Linked DNA regions of Schizosaccharomyces pombe. The protein of the gene in region 1 interacts with the protein of each later gene in a pairwise test. Each region holds a gene or a part of one and is shown on either strand. Other genes may lie near its edges.

What was found. The genes of interacting proteins can lie anywhere in the genome.
Region 2: the proteins of wos2 (region 1) and pop1 interact in a two-hybrid assay, tested with the Schizosaccharomyces pombe proteins (one large-scale study listed by BioGRID).

The regions. Positions count from the first base shown.
Region 1 is NC_003424.3:4,467,374-4,471,013, reverse strand, and holds wos2 (p23 chaperone protein wos2), read left to right. Parts: upstream 1-1,924; 5' UTR 1,925-2,018; coding exon 2,019-2,046; intron 2,047-2,245; coding exon 2,246-2,778; 3' UTR 2,779-3,127; downstream 3,128-3,640. Other genes in the region: SPOM_SPAC9E9.15 (protein CIA30), read right to left, coding at 1-333; ESCRT III complex subunit Vps24, read right to left, coding at 658-1,353. UniProt on the Schizosaccharomyces pombe protein: Cell cycle regulatory protein that interacts with cdc2 in the control of the M-G1 transition.
Region 2 is NC_003423.3:3,467,565-3,472,451, reverse strand, and holds pop1 (cullin 1 adaptor protein Pop1), read right to left. Parts: upstream 3,325-4,887; 5' UTR 3,110-3,324; coding exon 782-3,109; 3' UTR 567-781; downstream 1-566. Other genes in the region: synaptonemal complex-associated protein hop1, read right to left, coding at 39-133.

The DNA of each region.
Region 1 (3,640 bases):
ACTTGACTTCTCATCAGAAGTTTCCCAATCTTGATGACAATCCTTAATGATAAAAGTATATTTATAAGAATCGCTCTTAGCAATATCGAGCTCAATTCCTTTAAACTCTTTCAGGTTCCACGTCCTATCCTTGATATTAGTAGCCTGACTACAGAATCCAGCGCCTCCCAAGGTCTTAGTATCAAGAGTGCCCCAAAACTTGGCGCGAGATTTCCCATCACTATCCTTCTCCTCAGTGAGATGACTTATCGAAGAGCCTCCACGAACCCTATCATCTACAGCACGAAAATCCTGCTCATGCCAATTTTCTGGCTGACCAAAAAGAACAAGCATTTCTTTTTAATGGAGTAATGTTCAACAGCGGTGGATATATGAGTATTTTGTATTCAATAACAAAGGCAAAGGAAAGATATGAAGCCTACTTATTGAATATATCTGCCAAAAATTGAATGATATAGGAAGGCGGTCCATGATGCATAATTACTTCATATGCTACTGATGAAAATTTAACGAGAAAAAGAATTTTGTGCCATAAAATTACTACAACCGTAATGCAGGGAGTTTTGTTAAATATGCAAGGAAATCAGTTTAAATGATATAATACAAAGAATAAACATGTAAAATTAGAAGCAGAGAAAGAAAAAATATTTAAACCGTTTAGGATTTCAAAGCATCTAGCTTATCACGAATGTCCAACAATTGTTCTTCATCAATTTCAGTAGAGTCTTTAGCAATCCCATTGGATAAAGATGGAAGTGCTTGTTTGAGTGATTGTTCACGATGTGTAGCAGCATCCGCTGCTTTTTCTGAAGGTGCAGGAATGACATTATATTTTGTAAGAATTTCTTGGACTTCCTCATCCTCATCAGCCAAATCCATCAATTCTTCATCGTCTTCTACTGGTAGAAACATTTCATCACGCATTTCCTCTAAGACACCTGCCTTTGTAAGTTCCATAGACAGATTTCTCATAGTTTCCGAGAGTTGGGGAAGACGAATTAAAGATGATACATCTTGCATTATCTTTGTGCTGGATTGCATAGTACCTTGTATCTTTAACATAGCCATCTGGTCATTCAGTTGTAGACTTAGGCTTCCTAATAAAGCTTTTGATTCGGCGAGTCTTTTACCATGTCGGTTTGCACGGGCAATTTCTTTAGCCAATATACGCATATTTGTAATATCAGATTGCTTTGCCAATTGTTTCAGCTGAACCTCTGCCTTTTTCCTGCCTGCTTTAAGATGGTATACCTGCCGATCTAGTTGTCGTTGTTCTTTTCGAATGATGGATTGCCATTTTCTGTTTTGTTCTTGAGGCGTCGGACCAAAGAAATAAGATCTTACAGTTTGCATTTTGATAATAAAATATGAGAAATGCTGGGTGATAGGAAAAAATGGATAAACACGTAAATTCCCCGTTTACCAATTAAAAAAAAAACAAAAACGATGGATGATTATGCAATAATACAAGGAAAGAAAGTTATGAAAAACAAAACTGACACAAATCTCTCTAAAAAAATGATACTGAAACCGAAATGATATGAAACCTTTAAAAAAAGTCTTACTTCTTCAATTGTTCAAACGAAGAATCCTCAAATCAGCGTAAACCGAATAGTCCTCAAATAGAGTACATCAAGTTGGTCTTTTCAATTTATGAATTGATTAAAAAAGCGGCTTCTAGGATTTTAAAATCCCGTTTTACAAGAAATCAATTAATTGATCAGCTTCTTGACAATTGACGTTAAACAGACTCAATTTTCTAAAATCGATCAACAAGGATAACTATTAAAACTGCAATTTAACAATTTTATTCCCTAGACGCTTCTGGCACAGTCTTGAATACTTGAGCGTATGTTCTAGAAAATACCGTACCCAGTGACTTATAGTTCACTATATAATGTAGGTGACTTCAAGAACCTGCACTAGACAAACCACTTTAGCAGTTCACAGTTGAAAAGTTTCAACATAAAATTACCATATTGAACCTATTATTTACCTATACTTTTTATCATTAAAGAATGAGTTTAAATACACAAATTCCTGAAGGTATGTTACAACAAAAATCCGTAACACCTTATACTGCGAAGAATCTGAGACGAGAATAAGCCGAATAATTCTCGTTTGAAGATAGTATTTTCTTCGGTTTCTTCACATAAAATATTTGATTAGCGGTTTTGTATATTCTGTTTTCCAATGTACATTTATTTGCGTGTTTTATTAGTGCTTGTTACTAACATTCGTTTAGTTTTATGGGCACAAAGATCCAATAAGGATGATGCTGAAAAGAACGTAATTTACCTCACCGTTTTAATTCCGGATGCTGTTGACCCAAAAATTAATTTGACACCTGAAAAACTAGTTATCGATAGCAAATCTGGAGCCAACGCTCATTACGCAGTTCAAATTGACTTTTTTAAGGACATTGATGTCGAGAAAAGCAAGTACTCTGTTACCGGCCGCTACATCTTTTTCGTCTTATACAAGAAGGAATTACAAGAAGAGTTTTGGCCTCGTCTTACTAAAGAGAAACTTCGATTACACTGGCTCAGAACGGATTTTGATCGTTGGGTTGACGAGGATGAGCAAGAAGCACAACCTGAAGTTAGTCCATTTGGCGCAGGTGGCATGCCAGATTTGAGCGCACTTGGAGGTATGGGCGGTATGGACTTCAGTCAATTTGGTAACCTTGGAGGAGCTGGAGCTGGTGAAGATGCTAGTGACAGCGAACCTGAACTCGAAGAGGAAGAGGAAGTTGGCAGTAACGAAAAGAAAGAGTAATAATGTTATCATGTAATCAGTCTTAAAATGCATCCATTTTATCTTTTACGTTTCATACAAAATTGCAATCAACCTTTTTGTGAGGTGGAGCGGAGCAAATTTGAGCTGCGTTGACAGTTTTTTATTAAAAACAGTAAACTAAAGTACCATCTTCTACCTATATGGCTGAATATATTGATTAGGAAATGTTTGTTCCCAATACAGATATGTTGCTCATGTATTAAGACCCGTACGAATTGCATACTTTAATGATTATATGTCAAATTCTATTCCTGAATGGTTTCATATTATGATTTTATATAGAATGTTTAGTTAGTCATATGAAATTTACTAGCTCACATCTGCATATAAAAAACTTTATTTTCGTAGTCATGTACTTCAGAACCGTCGAACATCATTTTAAGTTACTCAGATAGATATTAATTTAATATCAATATAAATTTTAAACAGAGTCATTTAATTGAGGTAATTTACCAAATGTAAAATAAACAAAAAAATAATTACGCCGGGGTGTGTTTTTTTTCGGCAACATATGCTTTTCTGTTTACCATCACCACAGCATAATATCTCTCATTAACTCCTTCAATTACCCGAGGCAATTAGACATTTATTTTTTAACTCTTGACCACAAAGTAATTAAATACTGAATTTGATGAATAATTCCTAAACGATTGATTGTTAGTTGTTTGCATTGTTAATTTTATTAATTACGATTGCCCTAATCGTTGCAAAATCCTCTATTTATTTTTCCCTCCCATTGGACATTTTTGGACTTATGTTTATTGACCTTGGACTTTTTATTGCTTAACATTTTAGGTCGTTTGAGGTTTTTATCCCATTAGAATTTTTTTTTTGTAGACTT
Region 2 (4,887 bases), on another chromosome or scaffold:
GTTAGCTATTTTAATTTAAAAATTATATGTCTGCGTACCGCTTATAGCATAATGTTGATATCGCGAAGAAAATTAAATTTTTAAGAGTAAAGTCAGACTTAGTTTGCAGAATTTCCTCTTTGTATGAATTCATTTGTCATTTATACTTAGAAGTAAAGGGTATTTGATAAGTTGATATCTATATATGGTAATTTTGTGAACGCGTCGAACGCGTCTTAAGTGTACGTATATTACAGTCCCACCTGTGGTTTTCCAACACTTTAAACTACACTAAAATGGCTTACATAGATAAATGGAATGCGAAAAGCATGTTTTACGATGAAGACATTTGGTAGCTTATGAAGTAATGTAAAAGCCTTTTGTTAAATTAAATGTCTTTTTACATTTACAAAGCTAAAATGTTTGTTTTTTTATTTACTATAGTTTGCTAATTATAAAAATATAGTACGCTTTTGGGTAGAATGGACGCTATTTGAAGCTAAGGATTCAAGAAATTCGCTTATCCCTTTGGTAAAAAAATTTTGGCCTCAACAAACGAATTTAACACTAAATAATTTATAAATGTAGAATAGATCATTTAAAAAAATATTATTTTGCATTCTTATTAGATATTTAAAAAAGAAAATTATGAGTAAACATTTAAAAGTCAACAAACAATTAGACAAATATTATATGATAGAGGAGTTTCCAGAATAAATAGCATGAATCTATTTCAGTTTGGAAACGTAAAATAAAATTTCGAGATCTTTTATAGATTTCTAGTATCTCAACTTATAAAAGCTCAAGAAGATTTAGTAGATCCAAACTCTAGGACCTCGATCCAAAAACGGTTATTTCTTAAAACAGCAGCCACACATACATTTTCATTATAAGCAACTTGCCAGATTATATCCAAATCAGTCAATAGGTCTCTTACTAACTTTCCGGAACGAATGTCCCATAACTGTAGCGTACTATGGCTTCCACTGACAACTTTGCTCTCGTCGTGTTGAAAAAATATGTGTCCCAAAGGACATTTTAAAATATCTCGACAACTTCCGGTGTTTAGATCCCAAACTCTCAACGATGTATCAGGAGGAGCAGAAGCGGATACCAAGATATTTTGGTTAAATGTAACTTGACTTACCAAATTCGAATGACCATGAAGGGTCTGTAGAAGTTCTCCAGACTCAAGGTTCCAAATACGAATTTTAGCATCCGTACCAGCGCTGATACATTGTTGACGAGAAGGATTAATTGTGACACTGTATACTCTCCCGACGTGTCCCCGAAGAACATGTAAACAAACGCCAGTAGATGCCTTCCATACTCTAAGAGTACCATCATAACTGGCACTGACAATCAAATCTCCAAGACAAGCAACTTCACGTACCGAGTCCGTATGACCACGTAATGTTCGGATGTAAAACGGATTGGTCGTAGCTGAAGTAAAGTCATTATTCTGATCAGGATTTTCATTTACATTAACAAATGGTGGATCGTCAAGGCATGGAAGACTCCATAAACGGATCGTACAATCCCTTGAACTTGAAATTATATACGGAGGCATTGAATTAGCATCATTTGAAGCTGGTCTGTTTTCTTTTTCCACATCATCAGTATCAGTAGTACTTTGATTGCCTTGAACTATTTTGATACAACGGATTGTTGACGTGTGTCCATAAAACACCTGTTTACATTCACCGGTTCTAAGGTCCCAGACTCTTACTGTCCTGTCTGTGGAGCCAGTAACCAAAGTATCCCCAACGTATTCAAAAGTCCAAACATCACCTTCATGCTCTTCTAAACTGCGTATCAGGACACCTGTTTTCGTGTCATATATATTAATTCTAGGACTGCAGGTGCTAACAATTATTTTGTCATCATCAAACTGAAGTTTGGTAATAAGACGAACTCCATGAATTGGGAATGAACATCGCTTAATTTTCTCCGGGGCATGGAGCCATCTTTCACGAAGATTAAAATGTCTAAAATAGACCCGCTTCATTATCGCACAGGCTGACAAAGATTGTTCTAAACACATCGTACGGATTTTACTATCAATTGAATCCCAAAAGAAACCATCTTTTAAAAAGAGACTTTTCCAAAGTTCTTCGTTGGACGATACCAACTTATACCAGTGATGCGAAACTTGCGAAACTGCACACAATGAAGGTGCATCTAAATGCGTAAGCACTAAATTTGTAATCTCAGCCGGAAATCCAGTTAAAAAGTTCTTTTGAAAGATAGGAAGCAGAATTTTGTGAATATTTTGAACAGCATGTTTTCCACATCGAGAAAGAAGATGAAAAAGTAAGTATTGACGAACACTTTCGGGTAATTTTTCGAAGGAAGAAATTAATTGTGCTAATTTCAAAACAGCATTTTTTTGAGAGCTCAAATGATTAGAAGGATGAATGCTAGGATTTTCTGAAGAAAAATCATATATGACAGGTTCATGCAAAGAATTATGTGAAGATGAAGATGAATGAGGGGGAAAAGATTGACGGGTTTTGGAATCGTTGCCGAGTAAATTAGGAGAAAAATAAGAGTAATTAACAGAATTATTTGGTGCATCAAGTGAGAATGTTGTTTCACTAGCGACTTCCTTACTGTCACAGTTGTTTGGGTAGAAAACGTTCGAGTAGTTAGTAGAAGGAAAAGTTTCATTCTTTTTATTCCCATCACTTTGAGAATTGAAGAGAAACCGCTTATTAGCATGCAAATTAGAGCTGAGACTAGAGTTACGGCGTTTAAGGCACTTTTCGCGATGCTCTGACGGCAGCTCACAACTCAAATGGGGCCGGTTAAGATCACAATGTAGATATAAAAGATTTTGCAAGTTTTCCAAATTTTCTTTATCAGATAAACATCGATTGTTAGTAAATATCATCGATTGCTGACTTCCCTTGCTATCAAATTGTAGACTAACACGACTAAGCTCCTCGGGAATTCTGGTCATTATATTATTTCCTTCCAGGAGATCTTTTTTAGTGGAACATGGAGAAAATCTCTCGACATTTGGCCGGGGAGAAGAGGAAACATCAATACTCGGTGATACCATAGTTGTCTCACCGAAAAATTCATTGGAATCTAAAACAGATAGGCTATCTTTTTTCTTCTCATTCATTTCAAGTAGTTTACAGACACTTAGTAGAAAAGTATTTGTCAAGTTCTTTTATGATGTTAGAGAACCTGGTTCAAGAATCGATACTGATGAATTTACTTAAAACAACTGCCCGTTGGGAAACATGTATATGAAATTATTTTGCAAATAGTTATCGTCTTAATGCATTAGAGCAATACTTTTTCTTGGTTTTTTTGAAGTTCAGCGAGATAGATCGTAAAGACCATAAACTCTTGGCAATGAATTTTAAATTCACTCTACGCAAGCGGAGGTGTAAGTAACACCAGAATAAGTAACAATTTTACTGTTGATTAAGAAAAGTTTTTATAGTTTATGGTAAATACGACTAAATCGCGACATAACAATAGTTCAATAAGAAAAGTTATATGACTTAGTTATGGCTCCTCAATATTATTTTTTTTTACATTATTTGCGATAGTGTTTTAATTGTATACCAGATATTAACCTCCTCAGCATTTTCAAATAAATTCTCTAAAGACAAAAACAATGAACACGTGAAGTATTCATATTATAAAATTGTCTTTTCCGTTGCGTTTTTGCAGCTAAAGAATGCAGACACAATAGTAGCTCGCGAATTTCATTACACGCCAATAAAGTTGGGAAAGAGATTACCCTCCCCTGTCATATTCTAAATGACACGGACACATATAATAATTTATTAATAAAATTTGAGCATGAGCGTAAAATGTAAAATGTCAGACTAAGATGGCGTTTCTAGTACATCATTTTCTTAGGCCGTTGAAAGAAATTTTTTGTCTCGTCAATGACATGCATCGGGTAATTTCGGCAGGCATTGGGCTATTATTCGACTTCTCTCCATTCAAAATTTGACTTAATCTCAGTATCCAAAGAAGCGTCAAATACGCTACCAAGATAAATAATTAAATTGTTATCCGTAAAAGTTCTTAGCATAGCAAACCGATAAACCGAGTGTAAACACGATATTAATTAATTAATATTATATCATATTTAATGAGCTGCAGAACATCATTTGCCGAAATGCACCGAGCCTCTTATATCTAGGATGATTTGTATGTACCAGATTACTTTCCCAAGAGATTATTAAATATATTTAATAGTATTAGGAGAAAATCAATATAACGTTGAGTCGAGCCAACGTATTTGTAAGTTAGGTATACAGGGATGTCATTAGGCTTACGTACACCGCGCAATTCAATTGCAAAAGGCCCAGGGGACCAAGAACTTCCTTATGATAAGAAAGCTAAAGCGATAAACAAAAATTAAATTACTTGGCTTGGAAATAATAATAATTTGCTTTGAAATGAATGATTGAACGCCCCGCGACCCCGGGACAGTATAAATTTTCCTGGGGTAGATCAAATTCACGCATTTAATTGGTTGAATTTATCAACTGACTTTTAAGTTCATTTTTAATTAAGTTATCAGCCAATGAATACAAAGCCGATAGCAAGGCAAGCAATGATTGGAGCGCAATAGTTGACTGTTTTGGCGCTAATTATTTCGGGTTTATGGTTAGAAATTTTCTGAAAAAATCAACGTTGAAAACTTACAGGCTTTCATGGTTAATTAGTGGCAAAACGCCACGGCTCTTAATCAAAAGATGGTGAAGTGCTTGAAAAAAGAAATGTATATAAAGCTGAGCTGATTTTTAGGGAAAAGCCGTGAGCTGAAATTAAACAATCAGAACCGCAAAAGGTAAAGACCATTATATTCTTTACCATCTTTCTTTTATTTTCTAGTATCAAGTTACTAGCATATCCTATCGTTTATAAAGTCAA